Linked DNA regions of Nothobranchius furzeri. The protein of the gene in region 4 interacts with the protein of the main gene of each other region in a pairwise test. Links are inferred from orthologs where the notes say so. Each region holds a gene or a part of one and is shown on either strand. Other genes may lie near its edges. The genes, in order: alkbh4, fam168a, sec22a and dtx2.

Region 1 (5,441 bases), about 39 Mb from region 4:
GTCTAAGAGCAGAACAAAAAGGCTGTGTGTGCGGGGACTGTACGCAACGCAGCCAAGCTAACAAGCTACATTAGAAAAGACTCTCCGCTTGATTTCCGTCGTCAAATTCAAGTCCGAGACATACTCGCTGTTTGTCGTAGCTGCTGTCAGAAAAGCGGCTTGACTCCTGGCGACGGTGAGTAAAATCTCCCTGAGATATCAAGCCGGCTTACAGTTGGGCGTTAATGAGCAAAAGGAGAGCGATCAACAAACAGGCTGAGCAGCTAAAGTAAACACGGATGTCCGGTCAGACTTTCAAAATAAAAGCATCGGTCTACATATACTTGTCTGTTAAACATCAGCAACATCTTAATAACTGCTCCATTCGAGTTTGAACTTTTTTACTTATCACAGTTTTGCACTTGTATATTTAAAATAAAAGACAAATAAAAAATGACTTAAGCCGGACTGAAAAGGCTACATATAGTTTCATAACTTCTAGTCTATTATTATAAAAAGAAAAAAAATCCAAGATGCCATTTCCCTTAAATGAAGGAGATTCTTCTTTTTAATTTATTATAGTCAAGTGCACGATTAGCTAGACTCAGATTACGCTTGACAGTGTTAACATTAAATGTTGTGCCATTAATAAACAAAAAGTCTAAATAAATTAAGCAATAACTGCTGCGCCTCGCTCAACATAGGGCCTTTTTAAACGTAGTGATGTGAGAAATCTCACTTTTTGGTCAGTACTTTATTTGACACTATAAGGGAGGGAAAATAAATACCTTTTTTTATTTAATTTTTGTTATTATAATTTTGTTTTTCAGGAAGACGTATTTCATTATAAATCAGCAAATTTATTTGAAATATTTATTTCATTCAATAAAAACAAAAAATAATGCACTCTATCAACAGAAAATGTATGTAAAAACCTTCACATTTAATAATTAAAAAAGATTTTTTTCGAAGACTAACATTCTATTAGAATAAATTTATACCTGTTATTTTACTCTAGGAGTTTAGCGCTACCTACTGGATGGAATAAAATGTATACGCAAGAAACAGAAAAGAAAGAAAAATTTTATGAATTCATCTCAGTCATTTTCAAATGCACCCTGGTAAGACAGACTAAATCAATATATTATTTAACTTTGCAAAGCAAGATTTTGGTCTAGTTCACTAAACCAATTCAAATGTACTTGATCTACATAAAGCCGTCATTAAAGCACAGACTTAAAAAGATATTTATTTGGGAGAAAACATTCCATATTTGTTCATAACGTTACATTGTGTAGAACTTCGCTTGGTGATGTAGTTGTCACGCCTTGGTGTTTATTCTAGAAACCCGCACGCAGCAGGCCTCAAATAACTCACAGCCACACTGATACTGGAGATCACACAGTGCTGGTGCTTTATTATAAACTCATCGTCCTGCTGTCCTAACAGAATGGTGGAGTTGCTGTTCGGTGACAATAATGCTTTACCGTTAAAACATAAGTTGAAAACTCCAGTTATAATTAGTCCTTTGATGTGGCACAGTTTCAGACTGAGACACTTCACGTCTACTTTGTCCAGCTTTTTCTGCCTCTGTTTATATTGGAGTTCCTCCGAAGCTTAAAGCAGTAGTCAACAGTTCAGCTCCCAGCTTCGCCTGCTTCCCTCCAAGGAGGAACTCTGCAGACAGCTCTCTGTATGTGCTGCAGACCCTGCGTTCATGAATATCCTTCCTATGAATTGCATGTTTCCACCTATGCCTCGCCTCGCCGTATAACACAACTAAACACCTGCGAGGAAGTCGTACAGCAACCTGGACTTCCTCTGAAAGTCCCAACTCTGGCAGACCCTGCTCAAGAGACATGGTGAGCACAGTTTCTGATAACATGTTGATGGTGACCAGCCGCTCCCCCCACAACCAGGAGTCATCCAGGTGCGGATCAATGGCTGAGCCTCTCTCCGGAGCGTAATCCAGATTGCACTGCTCCACTGGTTGAAAGCCCGCAAGATTTGCATCTTGCTGCATCCGCAGCACCAGTTTTTGGCTTAAAGCAGGAAGTCCAGTAAAGTCTGCGATGCGCACTTTTCTCTTCTTGAAGTTTACTTTAGGGCCAAAGTCCTGCAACCGTGTAAAATGAAAAATTTGAATGTTAAAAATATGTAACCCACAAAAAAGTACATTTTCATTAAATGTTTTCCACCTGTTTCCTTCGGCCAGACTGTGAGGGATGCCACACATCCTGGTCCATTACGCTAATCAGCTCCCTCTCCTCCTCCTCTGATATAAAGTTCTCCCACAGGAAGACTCCAGAAAAAGGGAAGGAAGAGCCCTCTTCATCTTCGCTGACAGCGAGCCCCGTCTTGGCATTATAGAGGAAATGATGCACAATCTTCATACCAAAAACAGAGATAACATTAATAAACAAAAGCTGTGATGACATGTTTTAATTATAAAATTTCATTTCACAATAAGTAAAGATACATGCCGTCAACATTTAAATAAACCAGGGTTGTATCTCATTATTTAAATCAAATTTACAACATTGTACCAGAATATTGTCAGAACAAACAAGAGTGATTTTTGATAAACAACACAATTTGTCCAGTGAGGGCTTCCGTACCAAGGTTTACAGACGTTACATCGCACATTAAAACTGAGATTTTTGTTCGACACACGTACCTTTGACTCTCTTGTTTCAAGCAGTACACTCGCCTTAAACGTTTCACAGACAAGACAGCGTCGGATGCCTTTACAAGCGCATGGAATAACCCCGTCGCCGTCGTCAGAGACCATCATCATCATGTTGCATCTTCTTCTACTTGGAAATCGTAGCTCCACTGCCATCTAGCGGACGGAGCCGCAGGCGTAAAATTACTTCTTTTAACCCCTATTTTCGTTCTGCCGCACTGTTATTGGCGCATTAAAATTTCAAATAAAACAAAATATGACAATACTTAGTAATATATGTGATAAACAAGAAATATAATAATCGAAAGTCGTATTTGTTTGACTTGTCTTACAGCCAATGTTCAGGGTAAACTGTGGCCAAAGTTTTAGGTAAACCACGCCCACCGGATGTAGACGGAGTTTCCCCGGGAAAGGTCAGTTGTGTTGCAGACACAAAAGTTGCAGAGAGGAGTTGGTAAGTAACATAAAAAATACTTTATTAAACATTATTAAAGGTGTTTGCTCATTTGTTATGGCTAGAAAAAGAGTCAGTTATATTACTAACTACTAACCTAGCAAAGAGTTGATTAATCGATCGTGTCAACGTGGTTATGCTAGCTACTGCTAAAGTAAAACCAATCGAAATCAAACTAACAGATTCAGTTTTACCTTGCTGAAGCATGAAGTTGATTTGGTTATATTAAATTTTTCTCAGTAAAGATGTCACTTGGCAATGGCATCGTCTCTTTACTAAATGAAAAAATGCTAAATATTTAGCTCGTTTTAAGTACAGACATTATTTAAACTTATCAGGCCATACAACTTAATCAGTGAGTGCGAATAAAAGTTTAACATGTTATTTTGCTGATAGATTCCACATTAGATGTCCTTTTCCAGCAGATCAGCTATGGAGAATGTAACAGAGAAGCTTTTACTGGAGAAAGGTTCTCCAAAAACCAACAAACTGGAGCAAATCAAAACTCTGAAGTAAGTCTTCCCCCTTGATTAACTATTTGTGTGTTCTGGTGAAGTCACTCTTTTATCAGTTGATGACTAATCGCATTTAATAGTAAAATTAGTTTTACTTGCAGATATGAAGCTTGATCTAAAATCCCCATGTTGACTTGACGGGTTTCTTCTATTTAGTCTGTCTAAGATGGCGCTGAAGCACGGGGATCTTCCTGTGAAGCTGCTATCCCGCCTGCAGTCCCTGGAGCGGTGGGATCTATCCGGGAACAGGCTGCAGGAGCTTCCAAAGAACCTGAAGCTACCTGCACTTCGGTACCTGGACCTCACCAACAACCAGATGGAGGATGTCACCACCTTAGAGTCTCTGAGCAGCTTGGAGGAACTAAAAATGGATGACAACTTTTACATCACAGTGAGGACTTGGCTGTTTTTGTCGCATGTAATCCAGTACCGTTCCGTCTCTGTTATAACATAAAGGACGGAGCTGCCTTTTTAAAATTCAAACTATTCGATTGGTCTTATTTAAATGAGTGGTTTAAGTATAATTTCTGTCTTTGAATTCATCTCAGAACTTTACAGAATCGTAAAACGTTACCGTGGCATCTTTTGGAGTCTGGTTGTTACATGTGATGCAGTTTTTCCACCCATGACTATTTTACCGCGACAATATCCACATGAGGTGAAAAAAACAAACCAAAAGGAAGTTTTCCTCTAACGCTGTCATCAGATAACTACTTCAACAAGTCTAGATGTTTTATTAGCACGTCTTTTTGTTCTCTGCAGCGCTGCAGCTTTTCCTTTTTGTTAGATATTCCTTTATTTTTGTCTCAAACTTTAAAATTCTCTTTTACAACTGAGATCAAGTCCTGACTCTGTTATTTTTAGATAAGTGATAGTTACAAGCTGATGGTGTTGCTGCCCAAACTGAGGATTTACAACAACAAAGATGTCAGCACCACTGCCAGCCACTTACGATACGTGTTCAGTGACAACCTGAGGACCAGGGTATGAAAACCGTTTAATACTTTCGTTTGAAAACATTCATGATGATTATTCATTAGACTTTGAGTTAAGCTGTGGCTCTCGATTGCATCACACCTCTAATGTTGCATTTTAAAAGGAAACGACCCAGCTGCTGCACTTTCTCATCATATCCCACACTTGGGTCACTCAGCTGCTGCTTGATTTCAGATAGTCACAGTTTGGGAGCGGAGCTTCAGTCTCCCAGATCCCATCACGGCCGGCAAAATGTCCGATCTGGAGAAGAACTTTGTGAACGCTGCTCGTCATCAAGTCAAATTTGGTCCCAGTTCAGTCAGCGATTTCACCAAATGGAGGGCAAGTCCTGAATTTACAAGGATCTCTGGGACTTTTTTGCTAATTTTCATCCCTTTTTAACAGTTTTGTTTTTACTTCCTTTTGATTTTTCAGGTGGAGATTCTTGCTAAAGAGCATCTGCGCTCACTGACACAACCAAAAGAAGACTTCATCCCCAAGGAGTCTGCTGAGGCCACAAAGAACTGTGTAAGATTGCTAATCAGCACCTTTTATTTAAACTTCACTGTTACAATACTGTCATTGGCACAAATGGCGTCTCTAAATAAAACTTCTTGCTGTTTCTGTTCAAACTGGGTCAAACATTTTACTCTATCTTCCTTTTCTCAGATAATTTCCTCGCCTTCCAAGAGGAAACGAACCAAACTGGTGACAGATGATAAAGTAATTTTGACGCCTCACAAGAAGTTGAGAGTCAACGCTCTAGAATCTTCAGCTGCTGAAGACAGCCCTCGCAAGTCCCGCAGGGTCTCTCTCCGGACAGACGGGGCTG
Region 2 (5,791 bases), on a different chromosome or scaffold from region 4:
GCATTCGTTTAAAATATAAAAGAATCCCAACAGGTCTGGAACTTTTCATTCCTAATCCACCACTTCATTCATATAAAATACACGTAATTGTTTTTTTACCACGTCAAATATCGGTGGTTTTCCTCCGACAGCGGCTTAATGCAATAACTTGAACCTACTAGTGTACAAACATCTGGACTAAGAACGCCTTAACACTCAACCTTGTTTTATTTTAATTATGATACAAAGTCCTCGGTTTTTTGCACTACAAAGCCTAAGTACCTGTTCCTTAGCATTAAATCATAATAGTATAGTCAAGTGTTTATTTTTTTTATCTTATTTTGTGCAATATTTCCTCACAATGCTATTCAAACCCCCAAACTTCTGATATGTTCTTAACTTCTTAGCATGAATTATGGAAGGAAGGCTCTGTAAAACGCCTCCGGATCAGTATTTAGGTAATGCTAAAAGAATCTAGTCAGAATGCTGATAAAATAATGACCGTACGCTGAGCTGGAGGCATTACCTCTTTATTTATTGCAATAATCAAACCACCTCATCCACATTACCCGTGCAGTAAATGCTTAACGTAATACCAATCTGCATCCTACAGATCTTAAACGTTAATCTGGTTTTTCTTTGACTGTGTGTAAGATCTGAAAAATGCCACAGGCTGTGCCTAAACGTGGGATCCTGCTAGCCATCTCCGAACTCGCACCAAAATCTCCACCAAGAGAGCACCGATGAGCCCAAGTTGGATTGCAGAATCATTAAACTCCATGTCTTTTTTTTTTTGTTTAATTACAGTTTTATATTTTTGGACACATCTTACAATACTTTTGTTGTTCCGCTATTAAACTAAAATCTACTAATTTGACTTATTATTATCATTATAATTAAATCTCTTTTGTGTTTGATTATCAGTCCTCGCCCAGAGAAAAGGAGATTGAACGACAGTAGATTTAAAGTATTAATCATATAATGAATGTCCAAAACAAAAGCAGCGCCCGTGGTTTTGTCACCCCCTCCTCAGCTCTCCCTTTAAACGCCTTCTCTGCTCACTCTAGGCCACGCCCACCCCTAAAAATCCACGGTCGTGTTCGTGTTCCAACTGGAGGTTCTGTTCAGTAAGTGCCACTAAGTGTGTTTTGTCCCGCCACAAGAACCCAGGCGTGTGTGTATGTGTGCATGTTTTTGTTATTTTTTTAATTTTAGCATAATCACAATAACACATGAGCCAAACAAGTCTGAAATGTTCTCTAGCTAAAATTTGTCATGACATACCAGCCTGCATAGACTGTAGTCTGAAGGGGTTTCTTTAGTGCGTACTTGGTACAATGGGAAAACAGTAAGACACGAGGGTTAGGGTTAGCGAGCCGCCAAGACGGTTGGAGACATGCTGGAAGATGACCGAAATCAAAATGAAAAAAGAATGGATCAAATCAGGCAGGAAAAAGATGGAGAGCAAAGAAAAGCAAAAGTAAAAAAGGAGAAGTTGAAGCATTTTAGTGTTAAGTGTCAAAAAAAAAGAGCATAAAATCGTTGGAAACCTGTGCTGATATCTAGTTGTTAGAACATTTGGCAGCATTAGTCAATAGTCATTGTAGAGACTGATGGAGAGGATGATGATGACGAAGAAGTAAGTGCCCAATATTCTCCCACCAGCTGAGCCCAGCAGGCGGGACCACACACACACACACACCCACACACAGAGAAGCAGGAGCGACCGACACCCGCGGTTGGTCGAGAGTTCTTCTGGAGTTCCGATGACAGACGGCAAAGGAAAAAATAAAAAGTTACGAGGAATTCAAACATCTTTCAAAATAAAAGTAATGACTGGTTGGCAAATGAAAAGAGAAAAAACTAAAACAAAAGCAGCTTTTGTAAAAATATTAGAGAATGTCGCGTAATCACAATTATAGTAAAGTGGCTGTTGCACTTTAGTTTTGTTCTTGCAGACAGGTGCCGAGTTCTCGTGGTTACTGCTGGGAGCTCGTGTTACGTTTGAGCAGTTGCATACGATGGTGGACTCCAGATCTGGAGGGGAAAGGGGAACAATGGATTCAGAAGAAGGTAGAACTGTGAGGATGGACAACAGAAGAAGAGACAAGTGGAGGAGACATCTCCCAGGACAAACGCTCACATGATGGGTGGATTGGGCTCTACCAGTGAGGCGGTACGTAGCTGTAACCAGGTGTCCCTTGGGGCCTGTAGGTTGGCACGGTAACTGGGTGTGCTCCGATTTGGGCGTGCTGGGGCGTTGTCAGCAGGGTCCCTACACAGACACAACACCAGGAATGTGAACAGGGTTTATCATAACCATCTTACTATCTTAAACATGGCTGCTACACAGGTAATCTCTGGGTAGTATTAGTCCTACCTGCGCTCATGGCCATGGTTGTCCCGGCTACCATCCCCATGGCAGGCATGCCGTTGTTGCGGGGTGTAGGAACGGGGACGGGGGCAGGGTAGAGGGCCGTGGAGGGGATGCTGTTGGGCTGCACCACCGTGGTGTGATGGATCACATGTGGCTGAGCTGCGTACACTGGTTGGGTATAATACGCTCCCTGTCAGGAGAACAACACAAAGTTTTAATACTTCAGGTGTTGGACGGGGACGTTTTCATCTTTATAAATGTGCAGAAAACCTTCAACTCCAACACTATTAAAACACCTCTTTCTGCTAATCAGATGCCACCTGATCCACGGCTAGATAAAATAGAAGCACCGTTTCTTAGTTAACAAGATCAGTGAAAGCTAGAAGACTTCTGCTGCTCTAACCTTTGCAGGGTATATGCAGGAATCTCAGAATTAAATTTAAGACTTTTTCAAGACTTTTTAAGACCTTGTAAAAATAAAATGAAGACTATAACAAAGAACTAATCAACTGTTAAAACACTTATATATCGTTTTTAAATACTGCATCGCTTCGTTTTCACTTCATGTTGGGTTACGTCACATCCGGGACAGCGAGGCTGTAGCAATAATACGTAAAGTAATACGTAAAGTCAGGTGGTACAAAAATGCAAACCGCGCGCACTGAAGAACAAAATAAATATATTTTTAGTTTACATGCATCTATTTTTCATAGCCACGAACTGGGTAAAAAAAGTGACACCTAAATTAACTCCCCCTAAACAAGGTCCTCACGTGCTGCAGATGTGCATCTATTCTACAGTGGGTTTTGTAGTGACCTCTGACATTTATATACTTTTATTTTATTGACAATATTTAAAAAATAAATAAATTAAGTGATGTTTTTGCAAAATGCAAGCAATTTCTACCGGTCCTACTGTTCAAGAGAACTAAATATAATAAACTGAAATAACTAATCAGATAATGATTAGGAATCATCATATAATAATTAACTATTATTATGAAAATAATTCACAAAACACCAAACATTAAAACATCTGAAAATATTCCAAATGACTGTAATCATTCTTAAGTAGGATGTCCAGATCCAAACTCACCAAATGTGGGACAGAGACTGCTCACTGTGGGACGTGACGCTTCAATGTAACCAGATATAGTTCAAATGTTATTTTTTTAATCTATTCTGTCTTTTACCTCTAACATGACTGGTACATTTACATACAATTATTATATAATTGATGTCTTACATGTTCTATTTGAATTAAACTTGAACAAACAAACAGCAAAAGGTTTAATGCTGTTTCTCAGTTCCTCTGCAGTTACCACAGCTCAACTCAGGCTGGACCTTCTACTGTGGCTCGGAGTAACTTTAGCTACAGTTACTTTAAACAATCAACTGATTTCATAAATATAGACAGGCCCACTATAAAATAATGAAGGTTTAAGCAGCTTTTAAACGTTTTCACTGAATATTTGTGCTGGCTTTCCACAACAGAATGATGGTAAAAGTACCAGGAACATCTTTAGATCTATTTATGTTTATTTTCCACTAATAACATCTCATCGAGAACAGATCCATACTGTTTTGCAAGTTTTTCTTCTTGATTTCAAATCTCTTATATAACATGTAGGGAAGACGTGTCTAAAGGGTTTTAGCCTGTATGCACCTGAAACAACAACCACAGCACCTTGTCTGTCACAGTCTTCCTTAGGTTAGGTTGGACCTGTCTAATTACTGGGAAAGCTGTTTTTGACCAACACTTGAACTCACCCCCCCCCCCAAAAAAAAACTGACGTGTCTGGAGGGGATTTTGATGATTTTACGAACTTTAAGCTCCAGCCGCAGCGAGATGTTGAAGCGACAGTAGTGGTGGCACCGTGATACTGGCTACTGAAGCGTGTTTTTCCCTAGCTGTCTCCGTGACTGTGATCGGTCAAATGGCAACTCGTGACGCACTAAAAAAGATGGTTTGTGAAGAGGATGAACTCTCCTCATATTTCTGAAACTGATTCCTCCAAAGAGCGACTGAAATCCGACCAAAGACTCACCTTCCCTAAAACAAAAACTCTTTGATTCACGTGAACACATTTGGTTTCATAAACAGCAATTTTCGCTCAAAAGCGTCAAGTTTGCAAGTATGAGATGAACATATTTTAAAATCACGTCAATACGAACCAAATTTAAGACTTTACTAAATCGATTTATGACTTTTAAGGGTCTTAATTTTCCTTTCACCAAATTCAAGACTTTTAAGACTTTCTAAGACCCCGCGGATACCCTGCTTTGCGTGGGCCATGTGGAGTCACTGAATTTTAATGAACGAAGAAATGCCCACACCAACAAGGGAACGCTGGTTTACTGCTAACGCGCCTACCTGTGCGTAGATGTTCTGCTGAGGGTAGGCACTGCGGATGGGGTACATGGCTGTAGGGTACGGGGTGGGGGTGGGGGTGTAGGGAGGAGGTGCTCCATTTGACTGGGTGGGGGGCACTTTGTATGGGGTTCCTGCAGGAGTGTATCCTAAAAAGAAAAGAAAAGGCAGTTTTAATAAAACTCTTGTTTTTGAGCAGAAAACATGAGAAAACAATAGTAGAAAGAAACATGACTATTGTTATTAATGAGAACTATATCAGAAAAGGTGTCTTAATCATTCCATTTCACGCGTTTTCCTGGATAAAAACAGTAATATGCTGCATGCTGCGTCTTTAAGCAATAAAGGTGACAGAAATCAGATAAGATGCTGAACCTGCAGCGTCAGGTCATCACTGTCTGTCAGCTGCCACTACGAGTTCATCCTTCCCAGCAATCAGCAGTAACGTAACCTCCAGATTCTCAACGTTAGCTACTACTCCTATACCATAATCCATCATCACAACACTTAAGGGACTTCTGACGATAAATCCCAGCAAGTGTTAACTGTTTTATAAAAATAACTCAGAACTTAATGAAGTGAAATAATTAGAGGAGTGAGTGTGGTGCTTCAGCAGCAGTAAACATTTTTTCTACACTAGTCTGCATTTCCTGTAAAGCCCACCAGATGGGGACTGGTGCCGTCTTTAGAAGGGGATTTCAATAATAATAACAAAAAAAATCTAAGCCTGTTTTTCCCCTCTTTAAGTCTCATTCAGCAAGATTCAAACAGACGATTTGATTGCAGCACCTTTTTTCTTTGTGCTGAAATCTCCTTACACTTCCTGCAGCTTCTTTAAGAACACTAATCGGATTCAATTGTAAAGAACTCCAGATTGATTTCGCCACAAGCTCTACATCCACACAGCTGGAAGAAAGATGGTAGAGGAGAGTGAAGGCATTTGGTTTCATGTGTTTTTTGCCTCTGTGGGTTGCAGTACCTCTGAGCAGCCACCTGGAGGAGCCTGAAGGTCAAACATGCTACTAGCTAGCTGCTGCTGAGCTTATGAAAGCCCTTCTCTCACAC
Region 3 (5,791 bases), on a different chromosome or scaffold from region 4:
CTGTATTTAAGGATTATTTGTCATTTTTAAGGATTTTTAGGGCCTTAAATTTGGAAAAGCTAATGTAAGACTTTTTAAGGACTCGCGGACACCCTGATAACTCCATCATTTCTAAACATAAGATGATCTCAGTTTAAAAATGAGATGTGCATTCCTTCTAGCAACAAAGGACTAAAATTAACTTCGGATGGCACCATCAAGTGTTGTAACATGAAGAGCAGGGATGTCTAGAACCTGCTCAAAGAGCTGTGCACACATTCGACAAACAGCAACCTCCACAAATGCTGATTATTAACTCATTCGCTGCCAGCATTTCTCACCGTTTTTACTGTTTTTAAGAGTTACAGAACGTTGCGTGTTAGAAAGATGTCAACGCCAAAACAACCAAAACAAAGTGGAGACTCACCTCTTACATCAGGAAGAGTTTGAGCGTTATCCGTTTTTTCATAATCGGTTGTTGAATTGCGATCAGCAGAAGCTTTTCTGGTTCGCGCCTCACTTTTTTTACAGCAGTGGCCCAAAACGATCTCCTAACACATGGATGTTCTGCTTCCTGATTACGTGACGTGTGACGTACGTGGATGAAGATCGGCTTCAGAGCTGTTTGTTCTCACGGTGCGGGGGCTCGTTCTGACGCCCACACAATAAAAAAAATGCAAATGACGACTTTAATTGTCACTGGCAGTGAATGAGTTAAAGATGTCCCACAGATTTCACAATTGGATTAAATCCGGAGGCTCTCCGTTTGGGATTAAGTTTAGCAGATTCTCAGCTGGAAAGCAACTCATCTAACCCAATATATTTATATAGTCACACACCAAATGCTCACTTGGCCTCAGAACAGGCTAAATAAGCACAGGTGGAAACTTTTAGGGGTGTCAGAAACAACCATGGGGTGAGCAGGAGTAGCTCCAGTCCTACCGATGCCCTTGTATTTAGCTGCTGTGCGAGCTGAGAAGCCATTGACTGCCTGCAGATCCTCTGGGGAGAGCTGATAGGGCGGTCGCAGCTTGATCTCTGTCTGCATGTCAGCCAGGTTGATCTTGGTGGACAGGGAGCGCGGGTTGTTGTAGCGCTGCTTGGTTTTCTGGATAAAGGTGTCTGGAGGAGACAGTCAGCACAAAAACAAGCTGGTTTTAATGCTGCAGGAAACAAAACAAGGGAGATAAACAGATTATATTAGAGATAAGAACACTGCCGTGCTTAATGGTGGAAACGCCTCTCAGGCATCGCTTCATCTCCAATGATGATCAGCTGATTAAAATAATGAGGTTATTCATTCTCACCACTTAAAGGCACAGGACAGCAGATAATGTTTTCTTCTGCACAGCGTCTCCAGTACCTGCCTTTTACTAACTTATCCACCACCTTTGATCTTTTGGCTTTAGCTGCACCGGTGTCCTGAACGTAGTCTGGGTCCAACTCCTTTAAAGGCCCAGTGTGGGAAAAAATTAGACTCTTCAGCGCCACGCAGTTGTGAGTAAGTATTGCATCTATGGTAGCCCACAAACATCAAAAAGTCAATATGTTCTCAACTCAGTCTTAATTTGTATAGACCCACTGAAAGTTACTGCTTACATCTGGGTAACAGCGCACATCCACACTAGCTGGAGGGCAAGAACCCGTCTCCAGCCAGTATCCAGAGCGGGATCTCTGCGATTCAAGCTAACAAAATAAAACCTAGAGATTTAAATATCACTACTTTAGATCATCTAACACATCTTTGCAGATGAACAAAAAAAGAAACATCTCAAAGCTAAGAGTGTTCAGCAAAAAGCTTTCAGATGCACTTGAAAGAGCTAGCGAGCTGTGGGGACGACGGTCCTCAGAACCGGCCGTCTGAACTTCTCACCGCTGAACCGAGGAGCAGCTGGATCTCTTCTACGCTTTGCAGGTTATGCTGAATCGCCGTGACACCACTAGTCTGTGGAGCTTATTGGATGCTCTGTTTATTCTGACGAGCAACGTAAACAGAAACACAACTGAACAACATTAGCGGCTGTCCGCTCCAGTTACACACGTTTTGTGTACTTATTGTAACAAGACTGTTACTGCTGGTCACACACACAACTACACACCACACTGGTGTTGCCATTTTCACACACGTTTACTTCCCTGGACTGATCAGCCTACCGCTTTCCCCCAGCTCAGTCGGTTGGCTCTCCCCGGCTCCTCGCCCCGTGGTCACGCATAATTACATAATAATATAATAAATTCACATGAGTCAGAAAATGAGTTAAGCCTGGCCGATTCGGCCGTCAGAGGGGTCGCGCACTCCGTCCCGCAGCGCTCCTCCGTGAGAGCGGGGGTGGGGGTGGGGGGGTTGCACACGTCGACAACAAACATGCTGTTTCTCACCAGTTTTGTTGCGTGTTCGTGTCAGCGGACACAGTAGGGTCGGGGAGGGGGGTGGGGCATGACGCTTAGCCTGGCGGGTGGCCAAGCAAAGCCTGGTGGGCCTCCAGCTTACAAAGAGCTGGGGGAAACCCTGCATAAGTCATTACATGGCTGCTGTTTGTTTCTGGACACGTGGGGCAGATATTTCACTTTTCTCTTCTGTCACGAGACTTTGTCGGCTCTGACGCGGCTGGTTTATCCACTAGAATTAGCCTGTAAAATGTGACTTTACCATACTTCTTTCATTTAACCATGTGTATTAACCATGCTAATAAAATGTTATTTTGCCACTATTTAGCTCTCTTATTGACAACTAACAGATAAACACAACTGTGGCCAACAGGGGGAGCCAGCTTCGCCCTCCAGCCTGGGGCTTGGGGGCGGGGGTGTGGGCGAGTGACGCCAAGATGCAATGGCTCTATAGCGCCGTACAGACATGAAACATGGCACCAAGGCGCTTCAAAAGCACTATTACATGTTATTCACTAAGTAAGTACAGCAACAGTGCATCTCTTTGTCCTTTGTTGGTTTGGTAGACTGCATGCTTCCAGGACACACTGCTGTCTCCTGCTGTTGCCCTCAGGTCATGTCCAAGCACAAGCTTTGTATGTCCCTAAACAGCTACCGTATTTCAACATGGTGCATGACTATGAAGCATCAACCAGTTTATGTGTAAACAATTTAATATTTACAGCCAAGAGGAATACTTAGAATAGACGCTGGTGAGCAATTTTACTGAAAACTACCAAGTTTGTGAACAGATACACAGGATTTGATAGTAAACAAGTAAAAATATTCTCCTTGTGTTTGTGACTGATGCAACAGAAATCCTTCTCTAGCTGTTACACTTGGATCATTTTGGACTTTGGAGCGAAGCGGGCATTTACTGACAAACGGTTGCTCATCTCCATAAAACGACTTAAACGATTCCTCGAGTACAGCCTCAGTGTTCCTGCTAACATCAGCCAACAAATAAAATACCCTAACCGAACTGTGACACCAAAACCAAGATACAAATACAACCAGAAACGGTAGAACTTACCAAATTCAATGAAGGAGTACGGCCGCACGGCGCTGCTGATCCGTTTGGGGTCATAAGTGACAATAAACTCCTTCTGCAGCTCGTCCAGGAAGCAGAAGGCCAGCACGTTGGGGTAACTAGCAGTGCACACCATCAGGTACCCCACACCCAGAGAGTACGTGAAACTAAATCAACACACAAGCACAAACATGGCTGCTTTGAATGCATCTCTCAGAATTCCTGGGAACAAACGCTGACATTCCAGCAGCTCTGAACAACCACTAATTAAACACATCACTGCTTTGGAGAAATATCACACTTGTACTGATAATTAAGACTCAATCACCACATTTACATACAAATGCACCTGTTCTAACACATTATCCAAGAGCCTTGTGGTGAAAACCGATACAATGAGCTCAAATTACATCTCAGGGATTAAAGACGTTCCTTATTTCAGCACAATTAAAAGTAGAAACAGTCATCAATATTAAACAACGGACAACAATGATGCCAGAAGAGTTTGGTTTGGTAGACTGCATGCTTCCAGGACACACTGCTGCCTCCTGCTATTGTCCTCAGGTCATGTCCAAGCACAAGCTTTGTATGTCCCTCATGCAGAAACGACTGCCATGACATGGATGAACAGCTTTCTAACAGATAGTAAAAATATGGTATTTTTCAATTAGGGCTGCACGATATTAGGAAAACCTGCTATATTCGATAACAGTGCTTAATATTGCGATATCGATATTACTCACGATAAATGAACAAATACTGAAGTATGCAGTGTTGATGTCGTCTGGCGTCTGACGTCTGCTCTGGTTTCAAAGCAAACAAAAACTAATGCATGAATTCCATTACAACATAACATTTTTATTGCAACATTATGCAGCTGCACCTGCTACTGTATTAGCAGCAAAACAACAAACTGCATGCAAGCAGTTTCTCAGTGACTTTAAAACATCACCTCCACCATAAAACTTTTTCTGATGCTCCACATACAGAAAAACATCCATTACCAGGGTTTTTTGAATAAATAAAAAAAAAAAATCTGAAAATAAGTTTAAATGTTAAATAATAGTTAACATCATTTACATGCAACAGCAAATTCTCTCATTGCTACTGAACATTTTCTCCACTTATGTGGTTATGATATAAGGCTGTTGCTGCAATTGGGAAGTGATCTGTGCTGGGCCAAACTAGGAGAATATTAAGATTTTCTGAGGGAAAGAGAAAAACAATTGTCTACCTTTCAGAAGAGGAACTGGCAAAAAAAAACTACATGGAAAATATGTGAAAACGTTTGTTTTTAACCCCAAATTGAACAAGTTTACCTAGATCTTAAAAAGCAGCTCAGATGATGAAACTGCAACTATGATTCTGATAACACGCTAACAAATTGAACTAGCTCCTCTAAGAACACCGGCTAGCAGAGCTTCTGACTGACAGTTTATGTGCAGCAGCAAATCAACTATCCTGATTAACAAGGTTATAAAAGCTCATAAATGAAAAATCACTTTGATGTGTGGGGGAACTTTTCCAGGCCCTCTTTAGCAGGGTGGGACTGGGAGGAGAGTGCTGTAGCCTTTTAGCTGGAAGCTAACCGGAGCCTGGGGCTAACGTCACCACCCGGTGGAACACTAGCGACATGAAGGTGGGTTGGTTCACCGGCACGTGTCGGAGTCAGCCTGGTAAAAATGATTAACGACACCGAGCGGAGTCACGTTCACGTTTGAAAGCAGCGCTGAATCCAGAAACCTCAGCACAAAGTGCGTTCGTTACTCTGAGCCAGCATGACGAACAAGGGAATGGCGCCGCAAACTCTGTTTTGGTGTTGCTTTCCAAAAGGGTCTATGTAGGGGGCAGGCGTATTACGTGAACGGAACCATCTGATTGGCCGCATATCAGAAGGGCTACATTTGATTGGTCAAATAATACTTCCGAAAAAAACAGAGCTGATTTACAAAAAGTTGATGAATGACATGGATGGAAATGCTTGTACCAAACATTTATCGCTGTTTTTGACGTGTTTTGCGATGGGCCTATCGCACGTCCTGTTATCGCGATGACGATAATTTTTCGATACATTGTGCAGCCCTAATTTCAATGGAAGTTATTCTGAGCAAGTAGTGGTGAGCTGTGGGGTGCCACAAGGGAGTGCTCTGGGACCATTGTTGTTTTCAATCTTTATCAGTGACTTACCTCTTAGTTTACATCAAGCTACTATTACAATGTATGCAGATGACTCCACAATCCACGCCTCTGCAGATACAGATAGGGATTTAAACAGGATTCTAAATGAGGACTTAGCAGTAATAGACACATGGATGACAAGAAATGAATTAGTTTTGAATAAGAAAAAAACAAAGT
Region 4 (6,076 bases):
TTGAAACGTCCCGTTTTCACTGGCCTGTTATGGTGTTCCTGCAGCTGAAGTCCAGCTGTGGCCAGTTGAGCTGGTCAGACGGACACGAGGCTCGTAGGTGCACCATCTCCAGTTTTAATTAGTTCCTGTCGGAGCTTTGAGGGGAAAAATGACCCAGAAACTAAAACAAGGGTCGTTTCATCCTTCTGCTAAATCCCGCTGAGTGTAGGAGAGTAAAAATCACTTCATTATGTTTCAAGAATGAAACACGAATCTCTTCAGTATCAACCTCTGACCCTTGTCTTCCTCCCAAACAAACCAAGGGCGCCCCCAAGGGGTGGCCATGGCCACCCCTAGAAAATTGCTGGTACCCCCCCCCGGAAAAGCCAGTGTTTACAAATCATATTAATGTTCAGTCAAACCATATATTGATCTTATTTATTCAAGACATATTTGTAAAACAAAATAAAATATTACAATTAATAAGTAAAGAAATAATCACAATAAAAAAATACATGTTTCTGCTGCTCACCATTTAAAGTTTTTATCTCCTTAGTTTTATTTTTAACACAGCAACAGGTGAATGAACCTAAAAAAATAACTGCTTTAATTAAATTAGGGGTAACAGTTTAAAAAACTGAACCGTTTTTCTAAAATGTTTGTTTATAAAATTAAGTTAAATGTTTTGGATACCTACCGTTATTTTAATAAAAACAAAAGTGCAATGCAGCACATCTCCACACACTAAATTCAACCAGAGTTACCACATGGACCAATTTGGTGTGCCACCCCAAACATTTCATTGGCCCCATCTGGCCACCCCTATCAATTTTCTGGAGGCGCCCCTGTAACCAACGCTTCGTTAGAGTCTGGGTGAAGCCTTGTTCATTTCTCATGGCTTAAAAACAAAATGTTTTAGATTTAACAACCTGGTTTGAAACATAATTCTGTTAAGCGGGCGGATGAGAACTCCAACTGGCTGTTGGGCAGCAGATAACACCTTTAAATCCTCATCAGGCTCAAAATGATCAGGTTAGTTTAGCAAAAGAAGCTAAAAACACTAAAGTTTGCAGCATCTTCATCAGCTCAAATCAGGCGCCGGTCTGGTTTTGCATCATTTCTTTATTGCAGATACATTTTCAGTTGCATGTACATGTGTGGAGACTCGGCCGAGCAGACGCGGGCGAATTCACGCGTCTCGTTTAATCACGACGACTCTGATTGTCACACTGTCGAACCTTCCACGCTCCCGTCCACCTGGGTCAAAATCTGAGGCTGTTCGATCCGTCCTCTCAGATTCAACACTAAGAAAATGGCTGCAGAAGGCTTGTTAGACTTTAAAACAACCATGGATGTAAAAATCAAAACTTAAGATGTTTTTATACTTTTGATGCACTCGTGTTTATTTACAGCACTAAGTGTTGCCTCTTCTCACTGATAATCGTACAAACGGACTTTGCTACTTGGAGTTTCGCCGCGTTGCTGAAATGCTCGGCTGCGACGGAGCCGACTGCCTTCTCACTGTGGAATAACAAACCAAACAAAAACTGCATTTTGCCAGCAAATTCACTGTCAGAGCTAAAGTGCTTCATGAGACTTCTGCTCCCAGAATAAGCGCCGTTTCCCACGGCGACTCAAAACCAGGATACTGATGAGGCTTCGACAAACGAATCACGAGTTTCCAGAGCGGCGGTTCGATGAACTGGGCGCAGACTAAAGTCGGCCCAATGTGTTTTATTTTGAAGTTCAGGCTCCTGCGATGCGAGGTGCAGAAACACGGCGGCCTGTGATGGCGACCGCCGTCGGCTCGGTTGAGGTTTGCGGTGACAGAAAATGTGACGCTGCGTCCTAGCTGCTGCCCGGAGGCTTGAGGCAGTCCTCTGTCACGCCCTGCGAGGCCAGCTCGGACAGAACGTTGTCCAGGTAGTTGGGGTCGGGGTAGCCGTGGCCCGACAGGTTGGACATCATCTCCGTTTTGTGGTGGATGCCGTTCCACACCACCGTATCGGGCTCTCCGGTGGTGCTGGACGTCCCCACGGTGAAGATGAGGCGACGCATCCATGCCACCTTCAGCAGCTCCAACACCTGGAAGTCAGAAACGAGGTTTTTTTTTATCCAGTCACAACGTTTGGAATGCACGTCTATTCCCACCATCGAGTTTATTATGTCTGGAAAGGTTGTAAGTACAATTCTCAGACTTATAAATGTGATATTAATGCTTCCTCCCTGATGGACTGAGACTGATCCCAGACTTGTTAGTTATACAAGATCAGGTCTGGATTAATTCTCTGTTATTGTGAAACCAATTCATGCTTGCTGCTTTTCCTTTGTCTAAATGTGTGTGTGTGTGTGTGTGTGTGTGTGTGTGTGTGTGTGTGTGTGTGTGTGTGTGTGTGTGTGTGTGTGTGTGTGTGTGTGTGTGTGTGTGTGTGTGTGTGTGTGTGTGTGTGGTGTGTGTGTGGTGTGTGTGTGTGTGTGTGTGTGTCACTGATAAAGACGTGTGCTTCTCACACTGAAGTCGTAAATATTCTGAGCTGTTTCGGTCTCACGGACGGTTCTGTGGTAACCTTTGACTTCCAGAGAAGTGGAGGCAAGGGGGCTTATCCTGGAGAAAGTCCAGGTGCACCAGGTAATAGCTATAAAAACAGATCATGTACTCTTAAAGTCGATAAGCCCACTAACTTGCATGAAGGAGAAGATTTACTGTTCCTCCCCAAGGCCGAGAGAGGAAGAAGAGGAGTAGTCGGAGGGGCAACGCTGGGCTAAGGTCACCAGAGGCCAAGGAGAGACAAGAGTGGCAGACTGGACAGCCAGAAGAGCCTGCCGGAGATGATGTAATCTCAAGGAGAAGAGGAAACACGTGACTAGATGCTAAGCTCCAGCAGCAGGATGGGGGTGTTGCCATGGAGATGCAACCCCCTGAAGAACGCAGAGGGGAGGAGGGACAGAGTGTGAAGAGAGTTTGATGGGATGAGTGAGTGAGTCATGGACTGAGCTTTTTGGAGGGGGCTTGATGAGTGGAGGTTGAGCTGGGCTTCCTTGCAGAAGAGTTTGTGATCGTGTCTGTGTGACCCGCTGCGACGGGATTTTCATCTCTATCGGTTTGTGGAATAAAATCTGTTTCTCACTGCGAGGAACTTCAAACGAGTCCACGCTCTGGGGGTCTCCTCTGTCGGTAATCTACGAAAAGGTGAGGTGCTGGTTGTCGTATCCCATCCCAAAAAAGGTTTTAATGCTGTTTAGCTGTTACAACCATCCTGTGCTACAGTAAAGTTGGGATTGCGTGGGCAGCATCACTCTGCATGTGTCTGGATCCGATTCTGGAAACAGGACTGATATGGATTGCTCACTTGTACTCGGGATTTCTTCTTTCATACGTGTTTTATTGTTGTGCTTCTTATTGGTATACAGCGCTTTGTTTGTCCGTTTCGTGCGTGGGAAAGCGCTTTAAAAATAAAGTTGATTTGATTTAAACTGTTTCCTCAGCATAAAGGGACGGCTATCTTTACCTGAGGCATTCATGAGCCGAAGGAATAGTGTGTGTACTGGTGGAACTGGTCTTCCTTTTGTCCACTTACACGTATACTGGTCAGAATTAGAAGCCCTGGGTAAATCGGTGATTGCTAATCATCTCTTTACATAGTGAAGGGTCTTTACTGGCAATTAATGTCACGCCCACTGAATTGATTGCAGGCCAAACCTGAGATTATAAACATCTGAATTAAGAGTGGCGTTAGTCCGGCACATTGGCTTGCAACACTCCTAAAGGAGTTTAGGCAGTTTTCTCCGTACCATCATGTATTTGTTCCAAGTTCTCTACCTCTAAAACCCGGAAAGGCTCGTATCTTTTTACTACAACAGCGAGTCCTGAAGAGTGTTAGTCTGGGTTAAAGGTCAGACTGGAGATACTACCTTCCTGCCCTTGTCGTTGTCGGGAAGGAAGCAGAATCGCGGGAATCCTCTGCAGGTGTACAGCTGTCCAGGGTTGGGATGCTCCGGACCCTGATGGATGTCAGAAAGTTTAATCCGATAAGGTCACACCGGATCCGTTCAGATCAAAGAAGGAAGAATCTGATCTAAAGAGAACTTTGTTTTTGGTTGAAGGTGTTGTAACCTTTCACCGTTCATCACACACTTTCAACATCAAACCAAAACAAACTCAGGTCACCTTCACGCCTGGAAACATCTGGATTCATTTGTTTCAACGGCATCGGGGTAGCTGGGCCGTACCTGAACGCCAGGAGGGACGCTGTAGATGATCTGGATGGTACCACAGTCTGGGTGACCCGGCAGCGACTGGGCGATACTATAGATCTCCATCTTGCCTTTGGGCTGCGTGCCCGTCTTCTCTCCATAGATTGTCTTACAGGAGGGACACTGCAAGCTGCCGTCCTGCAGAGAAGGGAGACGACGGGTAAGACGCACCCCTCTCAGATCTACTTTAGTAGATTTGAAGTGTGACCATTTTAATGAGAACTCTAACAGAAAATGCTGAAAAACAACAGTTTCTCTGCAGAGGATGAAGCTAGCCTCGTCTGTTTTGGTTCGACTTTCTGCCAGAATGGATGCGACTCGCGAACAAATTAGAACGCACGCCAAAACCATCGCTGCACGGCGCGAGCCTCCGTGGCGCTTTGCAGCTGATGTGACCCAGAGCGTAAGTTAACAAGAAGCGCTCGGCGTTCCACAGCACTTCGCGGCGCATCATGGTGTGTTCCGGGCGTAACGTCTCAGTCATGGTGGAAGGAAGGCCATACTGCACCATCCTCGTCTCTGGGAGGTTTTCAGTTTTTCTCCTTCCAAAAACACAAGAGCGACGTAGTTTCTGCGCCTGTGAGGCTAACGCTGCAGTGTCTTTAATGTCTTTAATGCTGGCTTTTGGGTACAGGCAGGAGCATGAGCTCATACAGGGTATCTGCAGGTTTAAGGGAGCCAAATTTAAGACCTTTTTTAAGGCCACTTTGACCAAATTTAAGCTATTTTTAAAATTTCATTTAAGCTATAATTTCCAGCTATTGCCTGGAACCGGTGCTAACCACGTCGCAAACGTGGGATTAGCCACCCAGTTACCATAAAAACTGCACTTCCCCATGGCGCAAGCTCCCACTAGCTTAACCAGCTAATGTGCTCATCTAAAAATGGCCCCCTTTCACAACCAGCTGAACGTGTACGGTTCTGCATACGCCAACATCGTACACTAAAAATGCTGAACACAAACTAGAAATTCACGAAAATTTTATGGAAATAAAAGAATCTTGTTTATTGGGTCTTTGGTAATTTAAGACCTTTGGAAACTGGATTTAAGGATTATTTGTAATTTTTAAGGATTTTCAAGGCCTTAAATTTGGAAAAGCAAATTTAAGACTTTTTAAGGACCCGCAGATACCCTGTCATAACCCCAACCCCCCAAAACACCTGAAACTTACACTAAAACGTTAGAATAGCATACCGATTACCATCATTTATACACCATTATGTTTCCAAATCCCCATTCTTGCCTTATAAACAAAAATAACGTTTAATATTCTATGCATTTTTATTTCTTTGACTTGATATTTAATCACATTTGATCAAACACAAACGGCGTTAAGAGTCGAACTTTAACATCGTTTTGCTCCTGGAGCTAACATGCATGCCTGGAAATACCCCGTGCTATTTTTAGAACCTTTGGATCGAAGGATTTCTGTCATTTTAAAGGCCTTAACTAAAGAAAATCTAATCGAGGACTTCTTTAAACATTCTATATCAAAACAGAACCGAATCCTTTGTCTTAATTTGGACACTTGAACAAGAACTGTATGAACAACGATTCTGTTTGCAGGCTTCTTCCTGATTTAGGCTTTAAGAAAGCCCAAACGTCCCCCGTACCTTGGTCCCGTTGTTGTACATGGCCAGCATGCAGAGCATGTGCAGAGTGTGTCCACATGTGATGAACTTTCCCACGGTGTCCGGCAGGACGCTCTGAACCCCGTCCTCTGAGGACGGCGGCGTCTCGTAGCTGGACGGGCTGGACAGCTGGTCCATGCAGATGATGCAGTCCTGGAAGAGACGAGTCTCCGAGTGTTAAAGCTTCACACAACATTTCCCATCATGCCTT

The links.
Region 1: the proteins of dtx2 (region 4) and alkbh4 interact in binary tests that used the Homo sapiens proteins (3 or more experiments, as listed by UniProt). The two-hybrid records come from large-scale screens. The link is inferred for Nothobranchius furzeri from reciprocal best matches to the Homo sapiens genes DTX2 and ALKBH4.
Region 2: the proteins of dtx2 (region 4) and fam168a interact in binary tests that used the Homo sapiens proteins (3 or more experiments, as listed by UniProt). The two-hybrid records come from large-scale screens. The link is inferred for Nothobranchius furzeri from reciprocal best matches to the Homo sapiens genes DTX2 and FAM168A.
Region 3: the proteins of dtx2 (region 4) and sec22a interact in binary tests that used the Homo sapiens proteins (3 or more experiments, as listed by UniProt). The two-hybrid records come from large-scale screens. The link is inferred for Nothobranchius furzeri from reciprocal best matches to the Homo sapiens genes DTX2 and SEC22A.

The regions. Positions count from the first base shown.
Region 1 is NC_091750.1:30,551,004-30,556,444, reverse strand, and holds alkbh4 (alpha-ketoglutarate-dependent dioxygenase alkB homolog 4), read right to left. Parts: upstream 2,838-5,441; 5' UTR 2,822-2,837; coding exon 2,657-2,821; intron 2,367-2,656; coding exon 2,178-2,366; intron 2,096-2,177; coding exon 1,574-2,095; 3' UTR 1,371-1,573; downstream 1-1,370. Other genes in the region: lrwd1 (leucine-rich repeat and WD repeat-containing protein 1), read left to right, coding at 3,528-3,631, 3,791-4,025, 4,499-4,618, 4,805-4,951, 5,045-5,137, 5,279-5,441. UniProt on the Homo sapiens protein: Dioxygenase that mediates demethylation of actin monomethylated at 'Lys-84' (K84me1), thereby acting as a regulator of actomyosin-processes.
Region 2 is NC_091753.1:35,592,299-35,598,089, reverse strand, and holds part of fam168a (protein FAM168A), read right to left. Parts: intron 4,876-5,791; coding exon 4,730-4,875; intron 2,547-4,729; coding exon 2,360-2,546; intron 2,255-2,359; coding exon 2,142-2,254; 3' UTR 2,123-2,141; intron 2,017-2,122; 3' UTR 1-2,016.
Region 3 is NC_091754.1:31,848,400-31,854,190, reverse strand, and holds part of sec22a (vesicle-trafficking protein SEC22a), read right to left. Parts: intron 3,604-5,791; coding exon 3,440-3,603; intron 1,102-3,439; coding exon 922-1,101; intron 1-921. UniProt on the Homo sapiens protein: May be involved in vesicle transport between the ER and the Golgi complex.
Region 4 is NC_091750.1:69,058,892-69,064,967, reverse strand, and holds the end of dtx2 (probable E3 ubiquitin-protein ligase DTX2), read right to left. Parts: intron 6,019-6,076; coding exon 5,848-6,018; intron 4,372-5,847; coding exon 4,210-4,371; intron 3,982-4,209; coding exon 3,892-3,981; intron 2,065-3,891; coding exon 1,828-2,064; 3' UTR 1,694-1,827; downstream 1-1,693. UniProt on the Homo sapiens protein: Regulator of Notch signaling, a signaling pathway involved in cell-cell communications that regulates a broad spectrum of cell-fate determinations.